Elephas maximus indicus: one gene and its partners. The protein of the gene in region 1 purifies or fractionates together with the protein of each later gene. This does not show direct contact. Links are inferred from orthologs where the notes say so. Each region holds a gene or a part of one and is shown in the gene's direction. Other genes may lie near its edges. The genes, in order: STK25, CTTNBP2, SLMAP and CTTNBP2NL.

What was found.
Region 2: the proteins of STK25 (region 1) and CTTNBP2 purify together in Homo sapiens (affinity purification with mass spectrometry; 3 studies listed by BioGRID and IntAct, with this or other methods). This does not show direct contact. The link is inferred for Elephas maximus indicus from reciprocal best matches to the Homo sapiens genes STK25 and CTTNBP2.
Region 3: the proteins of STK25 (region 1) and SLMAP purify together in Homo sapiens (affinity purification with mass spectrometry; 5 studies listed by BioGRID and IntAct, with this or other methods). This does not show direct contact. The link is inferred for Elephas maximus indicus from reciprocal best matches to the Homo sapiens genes STK25 and SLMAP.
Region 4: the proteins of STK25 (region 1) and CTTNBP2NL purify together in Homo sapiens (affinity purification with mass spectrometry; 6 studies listed by BioGRID and IntAct, counting the BioPlex papers as one, with this or other methods). This does not show direct contact. The link is inferred for Elephas maximus indicus from reciprocal best matches to the Homo sapiens genes STK25 and CTTNBP2NL.

What each region holds. Positions count from the first base shown.
Region 1 is NC_064824.1:143,370,610-143,378,372, reverse strand, and holds the start of STK25 (serine/threonine-protein kinase 25), read left to right. Parts: upstream 1-4,756; 5' UTR 4,757-4,867; exon of another isoform or gene 4,868-4,928; intron 4,929-5,055; 5' UTR 5,056-5,144; coding exon 5,145-5,174; intron 5,175-7,763. UniProt on the Homo sapiens protein: Oxidant stress-activated serine/threonine kinase that may play a role in the response to environmental stress.
Region 2 is NC_064826.1:31,757,490-31,764,833, forward strand, and holds the start of CTTNBP2 (cortactin-binding protein 2), read left to right. Parts: upstream 1-4,338; 5' UTR 4,339-4,426; coding exon 4,427-4,534; intron 4,535-7,344. UniProt on the Homo sapiens protein: Regulates the dendritic spine distribution of CTTN/cortactin in hippocampal neurons, and thus controls dendritic spinogenesis and dendritic spine maintenance.
Region 3 is NC_064838.1:62,342,944-62,349,773, forward strand, and holds the start of SLMAP (sarcolemmal membrane-associated protein), read left to right. Parts: upstream 1-3,822; coding exon 3,823-4,020; intron 4,021-6,830. UniProt on the Homo sapiens protein: Associates with the striatin-interacting phosphatase and kinase (STRIPAK) core complex, forming the extended (SIKE1:SLMAP)STRIPAK complex.
Region 4 is NC_064821.1:168,369,986-168,377,187, reverse strand, and holds the start of CTTNBP2NL (CTTNBP2 N-terminal-like protein), read left to right. Parts: upstream 1-4,200; 5' UTR 4,201-4,267; intron 4,268-7,202. UniProt on the Homo sapiens protein: Regulates lamellipodial actin dynamics in a CTTN-dependent manner. Associates with core striatin-interacting phosphatase and kinase (STRIPAK) complex to form CTTNBP2NL-STRIPAK complexes.

The sequences.
Region 1 (7,763 bases):
GGGCGGCGGGGAGGCAGGATTTATTGTTCCCATTTAAAAGCAAAGAATTTTAATTCAGTTAGATTAAGTGATTTGCTCAAAGTCACAGGACTGGTACCTGCCTGCTCCAAAGCCCAGGGGGTGACGGGGTGACGTGTGCGGGGTAGGGAAGGGGAGAGAGTCTGGGAACTGAGACTCAGAATCTGCTCTGCGTGGGGACCTGGAGCAGGCCACCTACCCCCTCTGGGCTAAATGAAGGGGTTGGGTGGCATGTGGCTGCAGCCTGGAGCCTACCTTCGTCTCAGACCAGGGGTGGCTGCTGGAAGGCCCAGTCTGCTGCCTCTCACAAAGGAGGTTTATGTCCTGGATGTGTGTGACCACCCACGGTTTCTGTCCTGCTACTGTGTGAACATGCTTTCCAGCATCCACAGCTCACTGATGCTCTTCCCATTTTAAAAAATTCTTTTTTCTTTGTTTTGTGTATTTCCATTGCTGTGTGTTCACATTCACTAATCTTTTCTTCTGCAGTGTCTCATGTGCTGTGAATACCATCTTGTGTACCCTTCATCTCACACGCATTGCAGTTTCATCTCTAGAAATCAGATTTGGGTCTTTTTTTTTTTTTTCATGTCTCTACTTAACTTTTGAATGTATAAGTTATAGTAACTTTTAATATCCATGTCTGTTAATGAGTGAACAAATCCATCTTGGAAGAAGTACAGCCAGAAAGCTCCTTAGAAGCCAGAATGGGGAGACTTTGTCTCACATATTTTGGACATGTTATTAGGAGGGACCAGTCCCTGGAGAAGGACATCATGTCTGGTAAAGTAGAGGGTCAGTGAGAGAGAGGAAGACCCTCAGCGAGGTGGACTGACACAGTGGCTGCAACAATGGGCTCAAACATAACAGAGATTGTGACGATGGCACAGGACTGGGCAGTGTTTTGTTCTGTTGTGCGTGGGGTCACTATGGGCAGGAACTGACTTGATGGTACCTAACAACAACTGTTAATTCTAACACCTGTGTTAGCTCTGGGGTGTTTTTGATTGGTTGACTTTAGTTCTCAATGTGGACCACATGACCCGGCTTCTTTGCATGCCTGGACATTTGCCTTGCTAGGTGTTGGATATTTTTGTATTCTTATTTTTTTTTCTTTATAAACATTCCTGAGCTTTGCTGTGGGTGCAGTTGAGGTACTTGGAAGCAGTGAGATTCTTTCAGGTCCTGCTCTAGGATTTGTGAGGCAGGACCACAGCAGTGTTTAGTTGAGGGCTAATTACTCCTAACAGGATTCTAGGTAAAATAAAGACCATCCAGTCAAATTTAAATTTCAGATAATAACAATTTGTAATGTTTTAGTACAGGTATATCCCTTTTAACACCTGGGACGTAGTTATACTAAAGTGTTCTTTGTTGTTTGTCTGGCATTCAAATAACTCGGCATCCTGTTATCATTTGCTAACCCTGGCAATGCTAATGCCACTGAGGCAAGATTTCCCTGAGTATTCTACCCACTGCCCTGTGAATTATGAGGTTGTCCAGTCTGTCTGTAAAAATGGTGTAGTGCAGGCATCTAACCACCTCTAAATTTCACAAGGGGGAAGGAGAATCAAGATCAACAAACCAAGGCTGATTGCTTTGAGGTAGAAGTCAGACGCACCTCCTCTTGCCAGGCTTTTTACTAATTCTGACACGAACTGTCCTCCCTACTTGGTACTCCCTACTTCCCTGCTGGGTTCAGTTGTAGCAATGGCCATATAGAACTCACAGACCATACTCACAGTTATGGGGTTTATTAGGGAAGTAACGCATTACAATTCAGGTTCACTCAGGATACAGTTCTTCCATCAGGACAGCCTCTCCTCTGCCAGGCTGCAGGCACACCTCTCTCTGGCCCCTCGGCCTCTGGGGCAACTGTTATAAAGCTTTTTTAGCTCTGCCATAAGTGCCTAGAGGTACCCTGCCCCACTGGTAAGCCCTGTGCCCGAAGGTGCTCAGTTTTCTCGCTCTGTGGGCCAGTAAGCTCCCCATGCTTCCTCCTGGTTCTGCTGCCGCCGTTTCTCTGCTGCCGCTTCTCACCGTCTCTCACCATCTCCAGTGTTAGCGCTGTCCCTCTCTGTCCTGGTTCTGCTGCCTCTGTCTTCAGTGCTATAGCTTCTCTCTCTCTCTCTCTCCCCTGTCTCCTCTTTAAGCCTAGGGGATGGCAAAACTGACCAATCCCCTCATTAGGACTCCAGACACCATATTTGCATGGTCCCTCCCCCCCCCAAGGGTGCAGTACACCTTATTTACATTACTAGCAAGCTATCCAATCCCCTTGGTGGGCCACAAGCACCTCATTTGCATAGTCCTCACCCAGTCATTTGGTGCGAGTTACAAAGACTATGGCTAAAACCCCAGTAACATTGAGTCAATTCTGACTCACAGCAACCCTATAGGACAAAGTAGAACTGCCCCAAAGGGTTTCCAAGGTGCACCTAGTGGATTCGAACTGCCGACCTTTTGGTTAGCAGCCATACCTCTTAACCCCTACGCCACCAGGGTTTCTAGACTATAGCTAGAAGGGCCACATTAAGTAATTCACTGCACCACAGGCTGGTGGGGACAGACACTACTCCTTTGACTTGAGCATGGGGCACCTCTAATACCTTCAAACGGTTCTTTTCCAGTTTGGGGTTGTTTCCTCACAGTCGGGCGCAGATCACTACTGCTGGATACTCAAGGGGCTTCCTGCACATCTGTAGAGTTCTCTCCTGTCTCTCTGTCCTGCTAAGTCTAACCACCACCACCTCCTGGACTCTCAACTCTGATCCTCAACCCCAGGCTCCCCTTGGGTTCCCCCTCTTTCAACTGCAGTTTGGTAACTCTCTGCAAGCAGTAAACACACCTCTTGTTTTGTCACGAGGAGCCACTGAGCTTTGTTATCTAGTGTCATTGTCTTGAAAAGCATTGTTTCATGTATCTTGCCATTTATCAATTACCTATCTATCACCAATCTATCAATCAATCAATCACCTATCTATATCCATATATCTTTCGGTTGTTTCCAGCAGGAGGGAAATCTGACCTCTGTTATTCCACTTGGCCAGACACAGAGATCGGTTTTACCTTTTTTAAAGGAAAAGTCAGACGGTTGTTTGCTATCAGCTTTATCGAGATCTAATTCATACATCATAAAATTCACCGTTTTAAAGTGTCCAGGTGCAGACAAGTGGGGTCCTGTTGGGAAGGGGAGACAGTCCTGGTACAGGAGGGGGGTCCAGGGTGCGGGAGGGGTCCAGGGTGCAGGAGGGGGGGTCCAGGGTGCGGACGCGGGGTCCAGGATGCAGGAGGGGGGTCCAGGGTGCGGGGGGGGGTCCAGGGTGCGGGAGGGGGGTCCAGGGTGCGGGAAGGGGGTCCAGGGTGCGGGAGGGGGGTCCAGGGTGCGGACGTGGGGTCCAGGGTGCGGGAGGGGTGTCCAGGGTGCGGAGGGGGGGTCCAGGGTGCGGGAGGGGGGGTCCAGGGTGCGGGAGGGGGGGTCCAGGGTGCGGGAGGGGGGGTCCAGGGTGCGGGAGGGGGGGTCCAGGGTGCGGGAGGGGGGGTCCAGGGTGCGGGAGGGGGGGTCCAGGGTGCGGGAGGGGGGGTCCAGGGTGCGGGAGGGGGGGTCCAGGGTGCGGGAGGGGGGGTCCAGGGTGCGGGAGGGGGGGTCCAGGGTGCGGACGCGGGGTCCAGGGTGCGGACGCGGGGTCCAGGGTGCGGACGCGGGGTCCAGGGTGCGGACGCGGGGTCCAGGGTGCGGACGCGGGGTCCAGGGTGCGGACGTGGGGTCCAGGGTGCGGGAGGAGTGTCCAGGGTGCGGGAGGGGTGTCCAGGGTGCGGACGCGGGGTCCAGGGTGCGGGAGGGGGGTCCAGGGTGCGGACGCGGGGTCCAGGGTGCGGACGCGGGGGGGTCCAGGGTGCGGACGCGGGGGGGTCCAGGGTGCGGACGCGGGGGGGTCCAGGGTGCGGACGCGGGGGGGTCCAGGGTGCGGACGCGGGGGGGTCCAGGGTGCGGACGCGGGGGGGTCCAGGGTGCGGACGCGGGGGGGTCCAGGGTGCGGACGCGGGGGGGTCCAGGGTGCGGACGCGGGGGGGTCCAGGGTGCGGACGCGGGGGGGTCCAGGGTGCGGACGCGGGGGGGTCCAGGGTGCGGACGCGGGGGGGTCCAGGGTGCGGGAGGGGGGTCCAGGGTGCGGGAGGGGGGGTCCAGGGTGCGGGAGGGGGGGTCCAGGGTGCGGGAGGGGGGGTCCAGGGTGCGGGAGGGGGGGGTCCAGGGTGCGGGAGGGGGGGTCCAGGGTGCGGACGCGGGGTCCAGGGTGCGGCCGGCCGGGCAGCGGAGGTGGGGAGCCTGGGCGGGAAGGGCGAGGCCGCCGCGGCCGCCCCCGGGATCCGGTCCAGCTCCGGCTGGGGAGCGGAACGGGCGCGGCCGGGCGCCTTACAAGGCCGGGGGGCGCGCTCCGGGCCAAACGCGACGCCCGACGCGCCGACGCACCGACGCGCCGACGCCCAGACGCGCTGATGCCCGTCGCAGGCCACGCCCCCGCCGTCACGACACCGCCCACCCGCCCCGCGACCTGCCGGGACTTGTAGTCCACTGCGGCTCACGGCGAAGGACTCCAAGCCCCAGCGAGCCGTGCGGCGGGCCTGCTCTCCCCGTCTGCCTTTCCACCCCGCGGCCTGCCGGGACTTGTAGTTTAGCTTGCACGGCGACGGGGCGCGGGCCGAGTGGCGGGACTCTGTTTCCCAGAGAGCCTCGGGCCGGGCCACGACGCCGCCGCCACTGCCGCTGTCTCCGCCGGGCTTTCTCCGGCGCCGCCACTGCCTCTGCTTCGCGGGCTCGGGGCGGCTTCCCGGAGATCAGGGGCTGCGGGTGGGGCCTCCGCGGGCACAACGGAGCGGGCCGGGGGAGGCCGGGATGGAGCCCCCCGGAGGTGGGCCGCTGCCGGGCGGGGCGGCGCCGGGGCGGTTGGGGGTCAGGGGCCCGGGGCTGGGGGCGGCCGGGAGGAAGGTCGCCGGGGGCGGAGGCCGGACAGCGCGAGCGGCTTGCTGTCCCCGCAGTGGACTGAAGCGGCGGCCGGCCCGGAGCTGAGGCGGATCCCGGCGCCTCGTTGGGCTGCGGACGGATGGTGTGACGGCCGCGGGCAGACATGGCTCACCTCAGGGGATTTGCCAACCAGGTATGGGGCGGCCGCCTGGGTGGTGCGTGCGCGCGTCTGTGCAGCCCAGAAGGGGAGTGCACGTGAGCAGGTGTGCGCCCCAGACGGGAGTGCGCGTGAGCAGGTGTGCGCCCCAGACGGGAGTGCGCGTGAGCAGGTGTGCGCCCCAGACGAGAGTGCATGCGTGTGTGCAGCCCAGACGAGAGTGTGTGCGAGTGTGTACGCACGTGTGCGCCCTAGACAGGAGTATGTGTGTGCGTGGATGTGTACCCAGATGAAAGTGTGTGAGCATGTGTGTACCCAGGCAAAAGTGCATGTGTGTGGGTGTGCGCCCCAGATGGGAGTGCGTGTGAGTGGGTGTGCACCCCAGACGAGAGTGCATGAGTGCATGTGCATGTGTGGGTGTGTGCCCCCAGGCAAGTGAGTTTGTGAGTGTGGGTGTGCACCCCAGACGAGCATGTGTGTGTGTGCACGCCTGTGTGTGCCCAGATGAGTGTGTGAGTGTGCATGTGGGGATGTGCATCCTAGATAAGTGTACATGTGAGTGTGTGTGTGTGTGCGGGTGTGTGCCCCCAGATGAGAGTCTGAGCACGTGTGCATGGGTGTACACCCCAGACAAGCATGTGTAGGTGTGTGCCTGCGTGTGCCTCCAGACAAGGTTGTGTGTGTGTGTGTTGAGTATGCACCCCAGACAAGCGTGCATGAGTGTGTGCACCCCCAGACCAGTGTATGAGTGTGCATGCATGGGTGTGCACCCCAGATGAGCGTGCATATGAGTGCATTTGCAGGTGTGTGCCCCAATACGAGTGAGTTTGAGCATGTGTGCATGGCTGTGCATCCCAGATGGACGTGTGTGTAAGTGTGTGCATGTGTGGATGTGCACCCCAGACATGCAGATATATGTGTGCATGCAGGGGTGTGCACCCCCGATGAGTACGAGTATGTACATGAGCGGGTGTGCACCCCAATGAATGCACATATGAGCGTGTGTGTGCACAGTGTGCACCCCCAGAGAGCACTGACTGCTGAGTCTGGGAGGGGTGAGGACCCAGGTACATTTTGCTTGTGTCCCTGAGGGCTTGCCAGAGGGACATGGGTCTGGGTGTGGAGGAGAGGTTCATGGTGAACCCTGTGGCAGGGTCTGTGGGTGGCTCAGACCTGGGGAGACTATTCCATGTACACGCCTTTGTGTGACATAAGCTCTGAGTGTCTTAAAATAGAGCCAGTGGCTCTCTGCGGTTTAGAGAGCAGTGTGGGAGGAGACGCTTTATCTGGGGACGGGGTGCGCCCTCAGGGCTGGGCGGGGCTGGGCACTGGGTGGGGATCCTTTGGGAAACTGGACCTCAGCATCAAGTGAAGTCAGAGGTCAGCATCCATAGGGAGCCTGGGCCTGACCTGCAGTCATCTGGCCATGTTGTGGTCATCTGGCCACGCTGTGGTCATTGGGGCACATTGTGGTCATCTGGCCATGTTGTGGTCATTGGGGCATGTTGTGGTCATCGGGGCACGTTGTGGTTATCTGGCCACATTGTGGTCATCGGGCCACATTGTGGTCATCGGGCCATGTTATGGCGTGGCGGGAGGCAGGGCTAGTACACAGCAGTTTGTGTAGGGAGAACCCTGATAGGTCCTGAGAGGAGCGGGGCTTGACCAGGTGGTCCTTGTGTAAGCATTGGTGCATAGGGAAGACAGGACACGCCTGCGTGCATGTGTGTTTGTGTGCGGATGTGTGTACACATGTGTTCCTTGAGGGAGAGTAGTGAAGAGAAGGCCGCTCTGCAGAGCCGCTAACCAGGCTCGGCGTTTTTCTCTTTTGATTGTTCTTCTCTCACCTCGAGCCACCTTGAGAGTCTAGCATTGCTGTCTGGGAAGTGGCCATCCAACGGCCCACCCCACTGAGTGCCCTGCGTCCAGCCGCTGGTGCTGAGGAGCGTGCGGGGACTGGAGGGCTTGGGCAAGGATGACAGTGGAACAGAGGGAGCCCGTGGTGGCTGTCGTGTTGACTTCATCCTCGCTGATTGGTCTTGTTCTTCTCGACTCGGGGCAAGTTTTTCCGGCTGTGCTTCTTAAAAGTGCAGCCCCCGATGTGTGCTGGGCCAGGGACCGGCGGGAGAAACTGGGAGAATGTCCACGTGGCACAGAAGCTGGAGTCCCAGCTCAGCTCCGGACTCTGTGGGACCTGCCTGAAACCCGCGATGCCAGGGTGGGGCACAGTTGCCGGGCAGGGGATCCTGGACCATTGTGGCCCAGCTGGGGTGTGTAGCTAACGCTGAGTCAAGCCAGCAGAGTCAGGATTTGTCTTTGACGCTCCACGTCTGACAAATGGCCTGATTAAAGATGCTAAGTGGGACAACCCAGCCTCCTCGGGGCATCTTCGTGCCGTGATAGAAGGAGGTGGACGATGTCCTCCGAGTGACAGAGGGTGCAAGCTCAGGGCACCAGCCAGATTTGCTGAGTCACCCCGGGGCTTCGCGGGGTGGGGGCTGCGTGGCGTGGGCAGACCTGTGGGTGGTTTGGTGGGATGCCCCTGAGGGCCCTGAGTGAGCATGATATTCTCACTTCCAGGTGCTGAGAAAGCCCCGATGCCAGTGGGGGGGACCAGTGGAGGGG
Region 2 (7,344 bases), on another chromosome or scaffold:
AACCCGGTGCCGTCCAGTCAATTTCGACTCATAGCGATCCTGTAGGGAATTCTTTTCCTCCTGATTGTATTTCCATCTCTCTTCTTTTACCCTGCCTTTCAGAAATTTTCACTCTAGCCCTGGGATTTTTTTTTTTTTTCTGTTTATTTAGCTGTTTAACGAAGCTTCAAAAGATTTAATTCCTGGAGCCATCAAATCAGTACCCTTGCAGATCTGTTTGGTTCGACTCTAATAGAGCCTGTCTTTGTGCAAAGAATGTCTTTCACAAAGAGTTAATTTGCAATCTCAACAGAGATTAATTCTCAGGAGGGAATTTAAACTTGGAGTGTCCCAGGGGAGAAGCAGCTTCAAGGTTGGGCTATTCTGTGAGGGAGTTAACTCCTTATGCGCTGCTTCTGAGCAATGAGGCCAGCTGCTCAGTCAACACCCGGCAACAGTGGCAGCTTTAAGGTAGAAACAAATACTGTTTATTCTCCTTCCCAGGTCCTGGATTTTGGCAGTAGGAAAATATGCTATTCTGTGATTTTTTTTCACCTGTTTATTTTTCATTTCACACACACACACACAAAAGGCGGTGGGGTGGGGGAGAGGGGAAAGAATTCACTCAGGGATCTACTTGATTATGACTTGATTGTATTTTGATTGTATTTAGACTTACATTGTTAGGTGCCATCGAGTGGATTTGCCCCACAGAGTTTTCTAGGCTGTAATCTTTAAGGTAGAAGATGGCCAGGGCTTTCCACCTGCAGAGCGCAGAACGGCTGGCTAGTGGGTTGGAACCAAAGACCTTTTTGTTAGCCACCAAGCACTTAACCATTGCACCACCAGAGCTCCTTATTTTGACTAATAAACAAAAAACCAAACCTGTTGTTAGACTCATAGCGACCCTATAGGACAGAGTAGAACTGCCCCAAAGCGTTTCCAAGGAGCAGCTGGTGGATTCAAACTGCAGATCTTTTGGTTAGCAGCTAAGCTCTTAACTACTGGGTCACTGCAGAAGCTATTTATTCACAACATTTTTTTTTTTTTTAAATTGATCTGCATGTATAAAATAAACGGGATTTGCTTCACAGAGAAATTATCATGTCATATTCCTAGTGCTTAAACCTAAGTGAAATTTGTTATTTTATTCCCCAGTGGTGAGCCAGTTAATTTCTTAATTTAATGCCAATATTAAGGAAATTTATTGCCTTGTGATGTGTGAAAATGCATTTTGAAAAGAACAAGGAATACTTTTGTTCCAACTTTAAATTTTACTATCAACATCTAGCTTTTTTTTTTTTTTAACTTATAGGTTTATTTTTCTTACATAACAAGAATTCTAGAACTAAGCGACTTCTGGAGTCCCTTTAGCTGTTCCATGATGCCACAGGCTATATCTGTTTGGCTCCACCATCTTTAACATTGCCTTTTTTTAATCTCCATGTCTGTTGCCTCTGGTTGCAAGTTGGTTACTGCGCATTTAGGCATCACATCCACATTTTAGGCAGGAAGAATGGGAAAGGTGAAGGGTAAAGCCAGCTGCCTCTCCTTTTTATCATATGCAATGATTTTCAACACCAGATTTATCGTATCTTCAATTTACAAATATTCTTGGTTTCATTTCTTGACCATTTATTTAGTTCATCTGAAGCAAATATTAGTTTTAATTATTGTAGCTTTATAATGTATTTTGATGTCTATTTAAAGCAATTCTTTTGTCCTTTTTTGAGTATTTTTAGAATTTTTGAATTGTACTTTAGATGAAGGTTTACAGAGCAGATTCTCATTAAACAATTAATACACATATTGTTTTGTGACATTGGTTGCCAACCCCGTGACATGTCAACACTCTCCCCTTCTCAACTTTGGGTTCCCCATTATCAAGTCTCCTGTCTCCTCCTGCCTTCTCATCCTCGCTCCCGGGTTGGTGTGCCCATTTAGTCTCATTTTATGTGCCTGTCTATCTAAACTTTGGCTGAAGGGTGAGCCTCATGAGTGACTTCATAACTGAGCTATAAGGGTTTCAGGGGGCCATACTTTAGGGGCTTCTCCAGTCTCTGTCAAACCAGTAAGTCTGTTCTTTTTTGTGTGTGTGTGAGTTAGAATTTAGTTCTATGTTTTTCTCCAGTTCTATCAGAGACTATTGTGATCACTGTCAGAGCAGTTGGTGGTGGTAGCTGGGCAACATCTGCTTGTGCTAAACTCAGTCTGGTGGAGGCTATGGTAGTTGTCGTCCATTAGTTCTTCGGACTAATCTTTTCCCTTGTGTCTTTGGTTTTCTTCATTCTCCCTTGCTCCAACAGGAGCATGCTTTTAAGACTCCAGATGCTACTCACCAAAGTAGAACGTAGAACATTTCCTTTGTAAACTATGTTATGCCAATTGAGCTAGATGTTCCCCAAGACCATGGTCCCCACAGCCCTCAGCCCAGCAATTCAGTCCCTCAGGAAGTTTGGATGTGCCCATGGAGCTTCCATGACCTTGCCTCATACAAGCTGTGTTGTGTACTGTCTTACCCTTCTCCAAAGTTAACTACTTATCTATTGTCTATTTGGTGTTTTTCCATCCCCCACTCCTCCCCTCCCCCATAACCATCAAAGATTGTTTCTTTTTGTGTGTAAACCTTATGATTTTTTAGAGTAATGGTCTCAGACAATATTTGTCCTTTTGTAATTGACTTATTTCACTCAGCATAAATGCCCTCCGGATTCACCCATGTTGTGAGATCAGGGTCCAACTTTTATTGTCAAATGCTTTGCTTTCATCTTGTAAGTAGCTTGATTATTCTAATATTGAGTAATTTCAGAGAGAATAGTTGATAAAAGAAAACAGTGTAATGAACGGGAATGGACACTAAAGAACTAAGAAAGGGGGTAGCTGTGAGAGTAAAGTCAAAGAAAATAAATCAACCAGCACCTCTGCTTACAGGATAACTCAGAGGTGACTTCCAGGCCTCTGACCCTTAACCCCAGGATTCCAGGTGAAAGTTCTCTCTTGATGTAGCTGTCTTCTGGGAGAGAACTTTCCACAGTTAACCCATAGACTGATTTTTAAATTAAAGGGAAGCTAGGTAGAAGAATGGTATTTGTCATTATAATTGTTGCTTATCTAATGATTTAAATCAACCCCATTCAGGGTCTTCAAAGGAAAGATTTTCTCTGTCCTGATTTGTGTCTTATTTGGATCCAGTTTTGAAAATGGAGCAATTAAAGTGCCAAAACCTTTCATTAGGAGTCTGCCATTTAAAAAAATGAGCTTTTATCTGTAGCCCTTGAATTGAACATTCCATGTCATTCGTCTTCCTGAATTTCAAGTTTAGGATTTGGTTTTCGCTTCATTTTACGTCCTTGAGACACAGTTTGAATGCTGCGACTTGATTTTGTGCTTTCAAGACAGTTTTAGGGATCTGGTGATTTGAGAAGGGCTGGTACCATATGGTCTTGAGAAGGTGATAGATTTTCACATCCTGGGAACTGGCAGAAAAGGGTAGGAACTGAATCAGATGAAAGGAAGGGAAAATAGAGTTTGAGCCTAAGTCACTCATCTCATGAAAAACCTGAGACCTATAATTCCCATGAAGTCAATTTTTAAAAGGATTTTTTTAGTACGTGTACTTGCGTATTCTTACTTGCGTATTCTCTCTGAAAGTAGAGAGCTTCCTTTTAAAAGAGATGACATTTAACACTTCTTGGTTAGTCCTTTAGAAAAGACTTCAGTCATGGAGTCAAAGAACAGCAATGGGCCCCGCGCCACCCTCCCTGAAAAGGAGATTTTACAGAAAGATGAGAACTGAGGGACTGGGGCACAATGTAATAAAAGCGGACACATTATTCATTTTGATTTGTGAATTTAGTTAATGGTTTTCGTAGAAGGAAGGGGTAAAAGCACCCTGGCAGCAGTGTTGAAAAACCAAAAAACCTGGAATTTAAGAAAAAAGAAAAGAGTATCTTATGTCCTTCCTAGCGGTGGGATAGATGGGCATGGAGCGAAGGGTTTCCTTGATCTTACAGAAAATTAAGATTTAGGAAGCCCGACATTTCATCCGGTCTCTCCAGGGTCGGCTTCGTGGGGCTTGGCCGGTCGTATCACATCTTGAGCTCTTTCTCTCCTTCATCTCGCCCGGTGTCTTTCGGATTCCCCCATCTGCGGGAAGGACCAGCCCCGGGCCCGGGCTTGTGCCCTCTTCTCGGACCTCGACGCACCGGATGGCCCAGGGGCTGGGCGAGGCGGCGGGCGGCGCGGCCCCCCGGGGGCGGGCGCCCGGGCGCGCGGGCCCCGGCGCGCAGCGGGTTAAGGCGGCGGGGGCGGCGGGAGGGAGGCGGAGCGCGGCCGGGCCCGAACGCCGCGCCGCCGGCCAGCAGCGGGTTAAGTGCCGCCCGCGCGGAGAGGGCTGAGCCGGGCGCCGCCGCTTCGAGCTCGCATTCGGATCCGCTAGCGCAGGAAGATGGCGACGGACGGCGCGAGCTGCGAACCCGACTTCTCCCGCGCCTCGGAGGACGCGGCGGAGGCTACGGCGGAGGCTACGGCGGAGGCAGCGGTAACCGAGTTCCCGGTGCGGGCGCGCTGCGAGTGTAGACGCGGGCCCAGGCGCAGCTCCAAGTCCCCTGGGCGCTCCGCAGTCCGGGCCCCCTGGGGGCGCCCCCTCCTCAAGCTGCCCCACGGCCGGAGGCCGCCCAAGCTGGGGACGCCTCCTGCCCGTTCCGAGTCTCCAGGGAAATAGCACCGGCCTCCGGGTTCTTGGCGCTCCATGCGTGCGCCCCGCCCTCCTCGCGACCCCGACGCCGGTGCCGCGGTGGTCGGGTTTGGCCTGGGGGTGTTTGCTGGCGAACTTGACCCCCCATTGTTCGCCTCTAGCTGCACGCGTGGCTGTGAGCGTGCGTCTCGGGGTGCCTGGCACGTCTCAGCAGACCTAGGAAACAGCGAGGGGGGGTGCGGGTCGCCGCCGAGCAGGTGTGGGGATGCCTATTGTGTGTCTGTGCGCCTTTGGGGGGCCCCTGGGGAGGGACCGGTGCCCAGCTGTGGGCGCTGTCGCCGCGAAGCGCCGGCGACTTTGGTCTTAGCAGCCCCCTCACTGGGGAGGCGGGGGGTCATCGCGTTCTTCCGAGGCGATGCCCGGGCGAGGTGGAGGGTCATCACCGAGTATCATAGACATTGTTCTCCTTCGCTGGGTTCTAGACGCCAAATGCGCTACCATCCATCCCTGGTCCCCACTTTCAATCCCTAAATATTCCTGTGCACAGAAACTCGCTGGTGGGTTCCAGCCCCTACCTGGGGGAGGGTTGGTTCCCCGTCCAGGGTGGAAAATGTGCTCAGGGTTTGAGAAGCGGCTTCGCTGGAGCTGCGAGGATCTGCAAAGAAAGGCGGTCCCGGGAGCGCCTCCCACCCTTGGCCCACTCCCGCTGGAGACCGCGGTGGGATAGAGTGAGCCGAGGGTGGACGCCCCCTCCGGCCTTGCCACTACCCGATCGGAGTCGGTGCGCGAGCAGCAGAGGGCAGGGCCAGGCGTAAACAGCCAGGGCTGCTTTAACTTCCTCCTCCTCCCTGGGTTTGGAGGTAGGGCTTTTGGAGAGGGAGAGATGGGGAGGAAGGTACTTGGGGGTGAGAGGAGCTGAGCTTGGGAAGGAATAGAGAAAGAGGGGGTGGAGGGGGGAGAAAAACGGAGGAGGAGGGCTGTTGATTTGCACTTGTGAAACTGGCAAGTTTTGATTTGCAGCTTTTAGGAAAATTTATTTTGTTTTTTCATTTCTTGCGTGGAAAATGAGAACTTAAGATTTCAAGTGAAACCTGCCCACTTGTGATACTGTGAATCCCCCCGCCCCCCGCGAGGTACAATAAGGAAGCTAGCTGTTAAGGCAAGCCTCTCTGGGAAGTTTAAATGATTGGGTGTCTTCCTCCCCAGGAGATGATGACGAGAGGCACTGACTGGGAGGAGAAAGAAAGAGGTCTTGTGTGTGTTTCTTGTTCCCCAGGAAGGTTACATTTGTATGTTTAATTTGTTTAGAATGGGCCTTTTTTCTACTGCCCTCAGTGTTTTAATCACCTCCTTACAATTAAACCAAACACAAACATCTGGTTTATGGTCTGTAGCTGATGATGTAGTTTTATTTGGTTAGACTGTAGAGAGTCTTGGTCGTGGGGCAGATTTCGTGTTAACAAGGTCAGGGTTCCGTCTCTGCTGTGTAAAATTTTCAGAAGTCTGATTCTCACTACTGAACTTCGGGGATTTGATCATTCACCTGTGATAATGGGAACAGCCATGGAAAATAGGAAAGCCGACCTCTTGTTATTTCCACAGAATCCTTTAGGGTCCCAAGATGCAATAAGGATTCTTAATATAGTAGCTTTTTTAAACTTTTGGCTGTTTAGTAAAATTTTGACAGTGACTTCTTAGGCTGTAAACTGACCATTTTATTTTTTCCAAAAAGCTTTGACTTCGTAAGGTAGGATCCTGTCCTATCAGCCACTTTGACCTATAGGCTGATTTTTACATTAAAGAAAAGCTGGGTAGAGGCATGGTATTTGTTATTATAACTGCTCCTTACCTAATGATTAAAAATCAAAGGCATTTTTATGCATCTTGGGGTTTTGGCAACTGATGGCTTAAAACAATTTTTGGGTATTTTTAGTGAACAATTCTTTTTTTTGGTATTTTAGCGATTTGATTCATTTCAAATCTGCTTGTATATTCATTTTTATATATACATTTGGCAATAACGAGCCAATGGAACCTCCAAAGCAGTAGGCTATTTTTGAAAGTGAGTGTTTTCACTAAGTTTTGACTATTTAGATTGTTGCTTAGAAACAAGTTTAATTTATAGTTTCATAGTTTTCAGTTTAATATGATTTTTAGTGACATGTTTTAAATTTAGTTTGTGGTCCTCGTTCTTAGCTGTTTAAATCCTGAAGGCATCCCAAGTGTAAAGCTACATTATTCAGTAGGCTCATATAAATAGTCTTTGCTATGAACCATGCTGGGAGACCTGGGTTATTTTCAGTGCCTTAGCCAAATGTGATGACTTTTATAGGCCATATTGCTATTTCTACTCTGAAAATAAGCCCTAATGGATAAGGCAGTATGGAAAACAGAAATCTTCCTGCTTTTTATTGTCATCAGGGAATTTTGGAGTGAAAGGAAAATGGAGGTCTTTTTAGAGCTGTGTTTGGGAAGCCAACCAACATTCTTGCCATTCTGGGTTTTCTGGGGCAGTTAATATGCAAAAAGTAGGAATAAATTTTGTCACGGTGATTGTGACAAGGAAAAACTTGGACAGTGATTTTTGTTAAAAATATGCAACAGCGATGTTAAAATAACAGCTGGCACTTTGAAATTTTTGTTTTCCAGGTGACAGTATTAAATGTAAA
Region 3 (6,830 bases), on another chromosome or scaffold:
CAGTATTAATTAAACTAACATTCAGTGAGTATCTACTTTTTTACAGGCACCATGCTGGATATTTTTTCTTGCATTATCTTATTTAATCCTAACAAGATTCTGGGAGGTATTTTGTGCTTTTTTTCAGATGAGGAAACTGAGACTTAATTACCATAGATAACAATGGTGGTGAATGGTGATGCCATGTCTGATTCTGAAAGTTTGACTTGGATTACTCGACTCTGGCCTTCTTGAAAGAAGATGGAAACATTCTGAAGTCTGCTGCATTGCTTGTAAGTCTTTCAGCAACTGAAACCACACTTCTGCCTGTCCCTACCCCTCCCTGACCTTACCTTGCCCCTTAGGCTTCAGTAATACAGTACTTGTAATTGCCTTTAGATTCTGTTCTCTCAAGTCTCTGGGACTTTTTTGATGTTTTCTTGCCTAAAATTTCTTTATCCCACTACTACCAGACTACCTGGACTACTCCTACTTGTTTTTCAAGTCTCCGTTTAAACAACTATTGCTCCATGCTCTCATTACTCCTCATGCTTTCCATTATAGCAAGGACGTTATTGTGCCATCATCTAAGTTATGCTGATTTCCAGGGGCTTTCAAAGTATCTGTCCCCCAAGCCTGTTGCCATTGAGTCGATTCCAACTCATAGCCACCCTATCTGTCTCCCAGTAGGCATTTATAGAATTTATAGAATGAATGAATGAAAGAATGCATAACTGATTTATATATTCATGCACAGAACTCATTAGGGATTTGTAGAGAGGTCTATCTTATTTTATTCCATATAAGCCTAAAAGTTGTAAGAAATGAAAACTTTTCATCCTCCTAAGTTAAAGCTTTACAATGTATCCTTACTATCTACAAAATAAAGTCCCAGAATACACTAGTAGTTCAATACACATTTGTTTAATTGATGAAGATTCTTAGAGAAGTATATAAGGTCTTTGTAACCTAATGTCTATTTTTCTCTCCAGAATTGCTCTGTGGCACTCCTCCTTTATCCTCTAATAATGAGTAACAGTATGTTATTTTCATTTGTGCAAATATTAATTGAGTCACTACTGTACGCCAGGCGCACTGGTGCACTGTTTCAAACAGGCTTGTTCCTTTTCTTGCTGTTCTATTTTCCTGGACATGTTATGAACGCATCCAACAAATACCGTATTTATTGCGGTTTTCCTATGTTTCTATATTCAGTTCAGTTACCTCCTCCAGAAGCCCTTCCCTAATCCCTGTCGCATCCAGTGCTTGCCTCTATTTTAGCCCTGATTACATCAAAGTGAATTTTATCTGTACCTGTTTATCATCACTGGCCCTACTCCTGTCCCACAATACCGCGTGTAATCTCCAAGGGCGGGGTTGCACCTGTGTGTACGCAAGGTCCAGCACAGAATCTAGGACAAGACCAAAACTCTGTCTACAAGAATTGGAAAAAATAATAGTTACTCTTTATTAAGCAATATATTTTATCACCTAGAATTCTTGGAACAGTTAAGTATTATTGTTTTCACGTTACAGATAAGAAAATGAGGCTCGGAGGCTTTAGAAACTTGCCCAGGATCATGCGGTGGTGGAGCGTGTATCACGGGCATCTGAAGAATGAAGCCGCCATTGATTCTAAAAGACCTAAGACTCCTTCCCTGCATCTTTTCTTAAAATTTTACTTTAGATTTTGCCGTAATTCCCTCTTTAGACCAATGGCTCCTCGTTTACCTTAATATTGTGAGCAGAGCAATATCCTTTCTTTTCATATTAGAAATCGTTCGACCTTTCTCAGGAAGCAAGGTGATTTTAAACTTTCTGAAGTCTTACTCTTTGGGGGTAGAATGCAACGGAGTACAAGGGGACATAATAGGCCCAGTGCTAGAACAAAACAAAAAAACGAGCATTCGAACTGAGTGCAGGGACTAGAAGTTTTTCCGAAGGCGAGGAACGCTGCTAAGAATTCAGGAGAAGAAGGACAGCCCCTCTGATGTTAGGTGCACAAATTCTGACGCTTGTGGGAGTTTGGCTGCTCACACATAGGGCGACTGGTGGGGGAGGAGAGGACCGTATCGCCCATAGCTAAAATGGCTGCTAATGAACATCTCCTTTGGATAAGTCTGTTCTCTTCCATCCTTGGTATTTTCAACAGACCTATAGTAAGTAAAATTTAGTAAAAGTTCGTTCCTTCGTACTTAGAAGGTAAAAGAAAACGTTGGCACGTTTTGTTTAAAAAATCTTCACCCCCTCAAATTCCTCTTTGCCCTTAACCAAAATGGTCGTCCAGGTTGTACCACGGTTTGAAGCTTGCAGCCCTTAACTAAGATGGCGTCCAGAGGCGCGTAAAAAACAGCTTGCCCTCTTCTTTGCCCTCGACCAACATGGCTACCACGGCGGTGTCCACGTGACGTCCCCGGACTACGGCGCGGGAGAGGGGGTAGGAGGGCCTTTGAAGGGTGCGCGCTCCCGCGGTGGTGCACCGGGTAGGTTTCAGTCAGAGTCACTATGGCGGCCGGCGCTGGCAAGGTAAGCTGAGGCGGCGGCGGCGGCGGCAGCGGGAAAGGGAGAGGCAGGACCTGTCGTGGCGTCCAGGCTCCGAACCTCCGTGGCCCGTCCATGGAAAGGCCGGCCGGGGTTGTGGCCAGCCGCGGAGACTGGCGTGAGGCGGGCTGAGGGGGGCGAGGGCTGAGGCAGGCGGGCACCGGCGCCTGACGGCCGTTTGTTTTGGTATTTCCTCCACCAGGTCGGAAAGTTTCCTGCCTCGTCGGGCACAGCCTGAGCGTGCCCCGCGGGCCGCGAGTGCTGGAGGTTGCGGCGGACCCAGCCTGGGGCCTCCAGGCCTCTCCCCCAACCCCAGGGCCAGCCTCCCTCCCCCACCTCCTCGTCCGCTGGGAGCTGCGCCTGTCGTCCCTGCGATGCGACCCTCGCGGGGGCGACCCTGAGGGCAGGCGGCCCGTGTGCTGAGCAGCGACCAGGAGTCCCGACGTCCGGGGACCAACTTCCCGCCGGCCGGGACCCCCTCGTCTCCCGGGGTCGCGGGGTCGCGCCTCGCTCGGTCCGCACCGCCTGCGGAGCCGGATCCCCGCCCTGGTCGCGGGGACGCCCGCCAGGTGCCCGGGAACCCCGGCCCGGCCACTGCCCGCGCCCCCGCCGGTTCCCGCGCCCAGGTCCCCCTCCGCCGCCCCCTCGGCTGGTGCCAGGCCGGGGACCCCACGCCCCCTCCCGGGGCGGCCTCCGCGGAGCAGGGCAATGCGGACCGTCCCCCTGGCCGCCTAGACCCTCTCGTCGCCCCTCACTGCTCCACCCGCGAGGTCCCCGAGAACGGGCAGTGGCTGCCCAGAGGTGCTCGGCGACACCTTTCTTCGGCGCGAAGGGACCTTCCTGGCCGCACCGAGCCGACACTTCCTTCATGCTGCAGTGCTGCAACGTTTCCGCCTCCGAGGGGGAAAAGCGGCCGCGATCCCAAACAAAACACAAGAATTGGTGTGTGACTCATCTGCTTGGATACCTCCAGTCCCCAAACTGTCTTCCAGGAGTTTTCTTGGCCGAAGCTGTCCGATGTTTGAGCCGTTTCTTCCCAGGGAAGAAGATGGATTGAAAGCTGCCAGTTGGGGACTTTTTGTGGCCAGGTTGGGTTTTAAAGGAGGTGATGGCGCTTGCGCTGGCTTATCTCTCCACCCAAGTGAAGAGTTGTTGATGTGCCCTGGTTATGCTTAGACAATGCACAGTTTGCTTTAATTTAAAAATTTTCTGGGGGATAGGGCTAGAGGCTTGTGAAGGGCAGTCCGGATCCGGAGGAGCTCCTCTTTGTCCCTGGTAGGAGAGACACCCAGTCTGTCCTCGATGCCGTCAGCCTTGGCCATCTTCACTTGCCGTCCAAACTCGCACCCGTTTCAGGAGCGTCATGTCTACCTGGACGAGCCCATCAAAATCGGCCGCTCGGTGGCCCGCTGTCGACCAGCGCAGAATAACGCCACCTTTGACTGCAAAGTGCTGTCAAGGAACCACGCACTCGTCTGGTTTGACCACAAGACGGGCAAGGTAATGTCACCACGTTGGCTAACAGTCTTCACTTCTTGCTCCCCTTTGCTCTCTGTGAGAGGCATTCTGTGTGTAGGATTCCCAGGGTTTGCACCCAGAGGACTTGCAGCAAGACCACGGAATCAACTTTTTGGTGTGCCTGATTCTAGTGGAAATTTAATGGAGGTGGTTGAATGGAAAACAGAGTAGGTATTGTAAATAAATGCCTCGGGAGACCAATGGCATCTTGATAACATGGTCATTCCCAGTGAAATCCCAAACCCTAATTCGTTTCGGAAAACTAGATAGTGAAACTTGGCATCTCGCTTTCGGGCTTTTTAGAAAGGTGAATTTGCAGTTCAGTGCTTGATTAAGCAAGCAGCAGTTCCCAGAGCAATGCGGGAATCTGTGGCCAGTATTTCTCGGGAGCTCAGGTGTCTCAGTGGTGACCTGTACTGAACACATGGCTTTCAGCTGAGTTCTAGTCAGGGCCTTTCTAGCAAGGGCAATTGCCTGTGTAAACAGACTTACTGTTTGGAAAGACTAGATATGTATTTGCCCCTGACAGAGTAATTCACAGTAATCAAAGCTAATTTAATTAAGTATAAAGACCTGTAACTTTACATTTTCAGAGTTTTGTTTACAAGTTGGGCGATCCTATATGCACATTGCTTTCGCAGATCGCTTTTGGTGTTCCCTGGAACCCCTTTCCTTAAGAATACTTCATGCATACACTCAGAGGTAAAATTTAAAATTCAGTGTCAGGAAATTAACTGTTTTATTTTTTGAAATTACATACAGTTCTATCAGTTATTGCATTATTTAGTTGTGATAAAAAATTAATTGCTCTTCATTTTAAGTGTGACCATTCGATGTTAACTCCTTAATTTATTATACATTTGGGTGTTTTTAAGAATACAAAGAAAAGATTATGTAAGACCCTTTCAGTTTTTAAAACTCTGCGTGTAGAGAGCATATTAAAGAGCTCAATCTTGTACTTAAATTTGATGTTTTAGATGAGCTACTGACTCAGTTCCAACTTAAATTTACATAAGATTAATAGAACTATCTCGGGTTTCATCTCCTGATTTTTCCTCCTTTCTTGAGTTAAATGATTAAGTTTTTCTTAAAAGAAGAATTTAAATCTTTCCAAGAGTAGTGTTTTGAAATGAAAAACAAAACAAAACCCCGAGCCTCAAAGGGAGAGACAAAACACACTTTTGCAGTTATTGAATTGTGGAGTTATTATATAAATAATTAAAAAAAAAAGAGAAAGATTGTCAAAGTGCTATGTGCTTGCGTAATACCTGAACCCTACTCTGTGTGTAGGGTAAGAACTGAAAAGTATGTTAATTTTTCTGTGTAACACCAGATGCTCATTTACCTGTGTAAGGGACCCTTTTTATCTCCCTGAAAGCTAAAATTTGGGTGCCTTAGAGACTTTGTAGATTACCCATAATCCTTTAAAATGACTATTCACAGAATTCATTTTTCCAGCAATGTAATTCAAAGATCAGTTAACTACTAGTGCCTTAACTAGCTTTTACTTGTCTTTTGTGTCCCTGGGCAACCATTTGGGTCCAGCCTAATCAGATAACAGGTTTCCTCACAGTGCATTCTCTGCAAAGGTAATTTCTTTTTTTCTTTACTTTCATCCAGCACCCAAAGGAGACTCAAATTTTTTTCTTTTACCGATTTGAGAAATAGTGATTACCTGAACAGTGTACTAAAGCCCTCACAATAGCTTAGTTTGAGATGATTAGGAATATATGAATAGTGAATGCTTAGCGTGTGAATTGAGATGGCATGTTAAAATTTTGAACAAAATTTGTTTTTAGAAGAACTTATCTTTAAAGGATACACTTGGTTTATTTCTATTATTTTCACTTTTCTTTATTAGCTAAACTATACTCAGGATCCAAGGCTGCTACTCTAGGTGTACATATTATTATTGGTTATTGTACCACCCAGTCTAATGAAAAATGAGCAGTCAATTCTTGCCATGTGATCAAATTCTTTTAGGAATTAACTATTTAAAATTTAGGTTTCATCAGAGAGTAGGTTTTTGTCAACCATCTAGTACGTGCCAGATGCTGTGAGGTACACAGTTCTAAAGAAGACAGTTTGACCAAATATCACTTATTATTTTCTCTGTGTGAAATACCCAGTTTGAGGATTTCTGCTACAGTTGTCTCATAACAAAAGATTATGTTAACAGAAGTCTCTGGGTCTAATATGTATTCCCAGCAAATGCGTTTATATAGCAGGAAAATATCTCCTTCTATAAGCATCACTGCAGACAACTTTTTTTTTTTTTTAAAGTCTCTAAGCATTAATTTTTTTTTTTTTTAAGCATTAGTTTTCCTGTCTGGTGATAAGCATACTGTTGTTTTGAGTTTAAGGTAATCAATTTCTTAGCACCCTATACCTGGCCCTTAAGCCCAATACTTGGAGGGAGGGGAAATCATTTAGGCAGCTCTTTGCAGTTTGCTATGGTGCTCTTCAATCTTAGGAAGGTAATGAGAAATTATCTGTGTGTGTGGGTGATGGCATATGTAGAAATAATTTTTAAATTACAAACAAATGAAGTTGAGAACTTTGTCCAAATTGCCACTTTTGGACAATGGAAAGTAGAAGGTTGGGAAGTGGAAAATTAGAGTAATACGCTTTTTTGTTGACTTTCATTTGTGGGTGACTGTTGAATTCCATATTGGTCATCATGGGAGACTCATTAGAAGCTGGAAAAAGTAATAAACCCTTGAAACTTCCTGATTATCCAAGTGATATATGTTCATTGTAGAAAATTTGTGAAATGTAAAGAAGCAGATGAA
Region 4 (7,202 bases), on another chromosome or scaffold:
ACAGAGTAGAACTGCCCCATCAGGTTTCCAAGGAATGGCTGGTTAATTTGAACTACTGACCTTTTGGTTAGCAGCCATAGTTCTTAACCTCTGCACCACCACGGCTCCAATCTGTCCATAACCCATTGCCGACGAGTCCATTCCCATTCATAGCGACCCTATAGGACAGAGTACAACTGCCCCATTGAGTTTCCAAGGAGCACCTGGTGGATTCAAACTGCAGACATTTTGGTAAGCAGCTGTAGCACTTAACCACTATGCCACCAGGGTTTCCAATCTCTCCATAGAGTTTACTAAATTATTTTGTATAATCTCACTTGGATATTCACAGCCATCTGGTATAGGCAGAGACTATTATTCCATTTTTAAAATGAGGACATTGAGGTTCAGGTAAGTGCCCAAAACTCTCCTCTTCCTTACTAAGCCTTCACTGCTACTCACTATCCCTCTTCTCTTGCCTTCTCAAGTTTTAAAATCAAAATCATACATATAATCCCAAGAAGATTGCTACTCCACTCCAAGTATTATGTCAATGAATTTTTAAAATATTTGTTGCATTCTCCATTTCTTAACCCCTCTAGGCATAATGGAGAGATGATCACCAGAATCAGTTGCCATCAAGTCAGTTTCCACTCATAGTGACCCCCTGTGTTGCACAGTAGAACTGCCCCACAGCATTTTCATAGCTGCAAGCTTTCAGAAGCAGATCGTCAGGCCTTTCTTCCAAGGTACCTCTGGCTGGGTTCGAATCACCAACCTTTCAGTTAATAGCCAAGAACATAACCATTTGTGCCACCCAGAGTCTCCAGAGAGATGACAGACCATAGCAACTAAGAAGACAAACCTTGGATTCATATCTGAGTAAATATTCTGCATCAGTCGTTTATTATCTGAGATCATGGACCTCTTTGTGCCTCAATTTCCTCATCCATAAAATGGGAATATTAATGTCTATGGTACAGGATTCTTTTAAGGGTTAAATCAGGTGTATTAAGTAAAGCAATTTACACAGGGCCTGGCATATAGTAAAAGCTTGATAAATAGCATGTATAACTACCATATAATCATAGCACTGAATGATTTTTGGGAATTAGTCCATTATTTTTGTGTTATTTACCAATGAAGTTAAATAGAGGTAAGTGGGGAGACCACTTTGCCGAGAACTAGAACTCAGGATTTTTATTTACTATAAATTCCAGTCTTGCCCTCTTTTACATCATTGCCTCCCCAAACCAGCAATAAACATTTGTGGAACACCTACCTAGGAAGTTTACCTATTTGAAGAAAAACAGACACAATCTATAATCTTTCCACACTTCTTTACTAGGTTGTTGCCTGACACACAGTCATTTAATAAACATTTGCTGACAACTTGATAAAACATTAGATATGAAAAAGTTATATTTTGTTGTACAAATTTTAAGATATTATTATGAACTGAGTCTCTACCACTGTACGTGCCTTTGTACCAGACTCTAAATTTTTTTGTGCAAGTTTTATATACTGAAGAATCACAAAATCTCACAACCGTCTCCCAGTGCTGCCAACTGAAGGTCATGTAAGGTTCAGAAGCATCACCTATTCACTACCTCCAGGGGTGATGAATTTCAAAAGAAAACAATCTGAACACCCTCAGGATTCTGAATCCTGTCAGGTGCTGATGATCTCATTCTGCTGGGCCCTCCCATGCCCCTCAGGTATGCGCAAGAGGGAGCTCTGGGAGTCGGGAGAGCTGCCGATTACTATAAAGGAAGTAGGCTACAGGGCACCCTCTCTGGCTGGGAGTAGAAAGGGTGGTAGGGAGTTAACAGCTACAAAGGGAGGGAGGAAGGGACTGACTCACTAGGACAACTCAGAATGACTCAGAAGCCAGTAGCCTATTCTCCCACATCTGCCTCGTTGTGAGGCAATGAGGCACTTCCTTACACACCCATAGGCAGAGCAAAGGGGAGGAGGAGGAGAAAGAAATGGGATTTTATAAATTTGTGGGCCTATTCCAGCACCTAACGCTCTTGTTTTGTAACCACTTCAGACATTTTGTTTCAAGTCCAGTCAGTATTTACTGAGCATTTACTATGTGCCTGGCCCTTCATCTTGTTTTTCAGACTGTCAGTTTCCTAAACCCAGCCAAAATGTCTTTCTGAAATTCTGTATCTTCTTTGTTATTATTGGAAAAGCACTTGGGCTCCTGTTGTGAACCTTAGTACATAGTTTTTCTGTCCTTCGCCTATAGAGATGATGCTCTCAAAGCTACGATCAACAGGGGTAGACATGGAATTGTTTTTCTGGCTCTGATGCTGACTTTATAGTCATCCATGCCCATTCTCTGGCCTGTTCAGTTTTGTGAGAGCCAGTGCGTAGTGAGCAGAAAATGGCATAGGTCTGAAGTCATACGTCCTTGGTTGCAAGTCCTTTACCATTTACTAGCTCTATGACCTTGCTTGATTCTTCTAAATCTCTATTTTCTCATCTGTAAAATGGACACACTTGATGTCTCTCTTAGACGGTAGAATAGATTTATCATATACCCAAATCCAATTGCCATTGAGTCAATTCCAACTCATAGTGACCCTATAGGACAGAGTAGAACTGCCCCATAGGGTTTCCAAGGAGCACCTGGTAGATTCAAAATGCCGACCTTTTGGTTAGCAGCTGAACTCTTAACCACTGTGCCACCAGGGTTTCCAGATTTATCATAGTGATTAAATATTATGTGAAAGTACCTGGCACAGTGGTAACATGATAAATACGGGCTTATTTTCTTCAAACTTCACTATGATTGCTCAGGTGGATCAAATCCCTCCACCAGACTGTAAACTACATGAGGACATGGCTGCATCTGCCTTGAGAACTGTGTCTGCTTAGGTGAGGACTAGGCCCTAATATTGTCTTGTTTAATGACAACTACTAATTGTATTGTTATATGAAAAATAATGCGATGGTTATTATTTTAACCAGCTAAATCAATCTATGAGCTGGAGTGCAGTCTATGGAAAAGTGTTCTAGAAACTTTGACCTCCAGGAAGGATACAGCTAGGTCTACCATCATTCTCTCCCCTCTCTGGGCTATCTGGTCCTACCTAGGGCTTGCTGCTGAAGTCCTGGGTGGTGCAATTAATACTCGGTTGCTAACCAAGGTTGGAGGTTCACATCCACCCAGAGGCATCTCAGAAGAAAGGCCTGGTAATCTACCTCCAAAAAATCAGCCACTGAAAACCCTATGGGGCACAGTTCTACAAGAGGTCACCATGAGTAAGAGTCGTCTCAAGGGCACCTGGGTTTTTTAAGGCTTGCTATCATCAGCAAGATGTGTTCCTCTTGTTTCCACATGGAGGGCCAGACATGTATACTCTAGGCTGTCCATTGTTCCAACTTCACTGCAAACACCGTCATCCCATAGTATAATGGGGCGACCAACATGAAATTGTCTTCTCATCTGGCAAGCGTGGTGTGGAAACCTTGACACACAAATTTGCAATTATTAGACTTCTGCCTTGAAGGCAGCCTCCCCCATTCCTTCCCCTTTCGCCCTTGCCCCCAACCTGGTGGATAGTATACAGAGACAAGGCCTGGAAGGCAGGCAGGTCGGCTGGGTTTATGGCCCCTCTGGTACAATCCTATGACCCACTGCAGAATTTCCATAGCTAGCATCCTCTTCTACATATAATGTGAAGAGAGAAGGATGGTCTCCTGATATTTCATCTTTGTACCCTTGCTTCCAGCACACCTTCAGGCGCGTCCAAGGAAAAAAGCGGGAGCAGGGAAGCCACGTTACTGAGTTTTCAATAACCATTTCTAAAGCAGATACCAAAGCTTACTTTTCTAAACAATGTGGATGAAATCACACTCCGGACACCAGAAGCCCGCCATTCCTCAGCTTCCCCTACCACTAGGGCGAAGCATGAAGCCCTTGTCAGGGGCCTGTCCAGCAACGGTAAAGAAGCTGGAAAGCGGCAGGACCCAGACCCACCTTCGTGCGGGCCGGAGGAGGGTGCTTCCTACCGGAACTGACGTGAGCTCAATCCCAGCCCGGTTCTCCCCAAACAAAAGGGATCTTGGGGCTCCAGGAGGAGCCTAAATGACATTGGAGAAGCTCCTCCTCCAGCCAGTGTGGATTGGTGGCGGCGCTGAAGAGGCGAGGTGGTGATTGGCCAGAATGCATGCCAATGTCCCTTCCTGGCGGTTGAGGGGGTGGGGCCTCGGGGGCTGTGGATAGGGAGCGGGTGGCGGAGGCGGCCGGGAGCGGAGCCCGGAGCGCCGGGAAAAGGTAGGATCCCCTAATGCTGGGACTTGGTGACTGCTGGGAAACCGGGTTTCCGAGAGAAAAGCAAGGGTGGGACCCCGGTATCCTCCCGCACTGTCCCACTGCCTCTCGTGTACATCCCGGAGGGGGCGGGGCCGTCTCCTCCACCTCCCGGTATTCCCTGAGGAGGTGGCTGCTCATCCTTCGAGGGTCCTCACGGTTCCTTATTGTCCCCCGTCAGTTCCTCCCTCCTCAGAAAGGGCTTCCCTCCTGCTACCTCTCATTTAAAAGCCCTTCTCGCTCAGCGCTTCAACCTTGGAGGAGGGCTCGCCGGTTCCCATTCCCTACGCTGCCGCCCCCACTCCCATTTTGTACCCCGGGCAGCCAGACATCCCTCCCTACACCTGTCCCTGCTCGCTAGGGTGGGACCAGAGCTAGTATCGTTTGTAAGATAAAGTCAGTACATTTTAGAAAAGAGGGATGGGGCAAAGCAAAAATCAAAGACCCGACCTGGACAGCCAGCACCACGTACGAAGCGGCCCTCCCCCCCCTTCAGCTCTTCCCATCCTCCATTCTCGGATCCCCAGCCTTCTTCCAGCTGCCCGTCGGATTTGCTGTTCTGTGGCGAGTGGAGAGCTCCCCTGCTTCGGGAGTCAAGATGGACTTTTTTTAAGCTCTGGAGGAAGGAGAAATTACAACCCCCTCCCCCCATCTCAGTCTTTGTACCTTCTCTCTATTTTCTATTCCCAGCTTCAAAAGGTTTTCTAGCGTTGAGTTGTTCACTTTTGCCTTCCACCCTATTTCTTCCCTGAGAACTTGATGAAAAACCATCCTCTTGTATTTCACAGTGAGGTGGGTGTGTTGGCTATCTGCAGAATTGCCTTTGTGTGGGTAGGAATGCAGTGTGTATTGTTTGGCAACCAGTGAATAGCACAAGATTTAAGATGAAGCAGTATAGATAAGCAAATGAAAATATTTGGTCATAGGCATGAGTATCTCCTAGTCTATGGTGGGCTGGTTGTTGCTCAGGGAGACTGCACTTCACCTGGAAGGTATGGTTCTGTTGAAACAAAAGGCAGGAAGTGTTTGAAGAAAATTCAGGTTCAGACATTTAGGTTTATAAGTAATCTGGTCAGGTGGCCTTTGGTTACTCTCAACTACTCCATCTTTTATAGTGGGTTCCCCCCCTCCCCCAGGGAAAATGATACATATATGACATTGTTGACTGGTTTTACATGACCCATAGCATCTAACAAAAATATTAAAAAATATATATATATATAAAAAAAAATTTATAGGGGACAAAAAATAAGAGCAATTTTTAAGTCGCAGAGATGAGGGTAAATAAAGGCGAGGTAAGCTCCAGTTATTCACATGCCTCTGTAGTATGTTCATAAAGACTTTGTTAAGCTGTTCTTCATTTCAGCAGGGGCTAAGTATTGATGGCTTTTGGTCCAGTGTTAATGCCCCTGAATCCCCAGTAATCACCTATGGGTGCCTGTTACCAATTGCCGTCAAATGGACTCCAACTGACAGCAACCTTGTAGGACAGAGGAGAACTGCCCCGTACGGTTTCCTAGGCAGAAATCTCTACGGGAGCAGACTGCCACATCTTTCTCCCCTTGAACAGCTGGTGGGTTTAGACCTCTGACCTTTCTGTTAGCAGCTGAGCATTTAACCACTGTGCCACCGGGGCTCCTTACCGATGGATAGTGCTTTCATATATTAAAATTAACCATATATTAAGCAGTTTTCTTTTTTGCTTTCAATCAGAAGTCCCTCTCACTACTGTTACCTGTAAAAACCAAACCCATTGCCATCGAGTTGATTCCAATTCATAGCGACCCCACAGGACAGAGTAGAACTGCCCCACAGGGTTTCCAAGGAGCAGGAGCAACTGGTAGATTCCAAATGCTGACCTTTTGATTCGCAGCCAAACAGCCAAGCTCTTAACCACTGCACCACCAGGCCTCCTCTGTTATCTAGAGCCAAAGCTAATCTCAATAACATGCAAAGAGTTGAAATCATAGAGGGTGATTGTAGTGGCTGTTGTCTTTTACCTTCCTGATTAGACTTCCTGAAGGTAATTATTTTTAATAGTTAAGTTTCGAAGTTTTCAGAGCCACACTTGGTGCTCACAGATCTGTGTAGTGATTATTCCCAGATCTACAATAAGAAAGCATAAAAGAGAAGCTATGTGTGGGGTCTCCCCAGCTAACACAGCAATAGCAGTAGAAAAAACTAAAGCAGAACAGGAAACTCTAGAAAGATATATCTTGTTACATGAGCAGAGAACAGAAAATAAACTAAGAGACTAGAGAATCCAAAGTAGTGGTAATTGCCAGGGCCTTCACGGGCAGAGAAGAAAAAGTAAACAATGCTCTTCGATTATTTGGCACGATAATCAAGACCCGTTGGGTACACCCTGGTGGCACAGTGGTTAAGAGCTCAGCTGCTGACCAAAAGTTTGGCAGACTGAGTCCACCAGCTACTCCTTAGAAAACCTGTGGGGCAGTTCTACTCTGACCTATAGGGTCACTATGAGTCGGAATCGACTCAATGGCAATGAGTTTGGTTTTTGGTTTAGTTGGATAGACTTAAGTAATCTCTTATTTTTCGACACCTGTTTGGTCATGAAACCCTATGGGGCAGTTCTACTGTGTCCTATAGGGTCGCTATGAGTTGGAATCGATTCAACGGCAACGGGTTTTTTCGGTTTGGTTTGGTCATGAGGAGCCCTCGCAGCACAGCGGTTAAAGCACTCGACTGCAAACCAGAAGGTGGGTGGTTTGAACCCACCAGATGCTCCACAGGAGATAGATGTGGCAGACTGCTTCCATAAAGATTTACAGCCCTGGAAACCCTACGGGGTAGTTCTACTCTATTGACTCCAAGGCAGTGGGTTTGGTTTAGTCATGTTAGATGAAGAAAAGCATTGTATGCAGAGAAACTTTGTGTA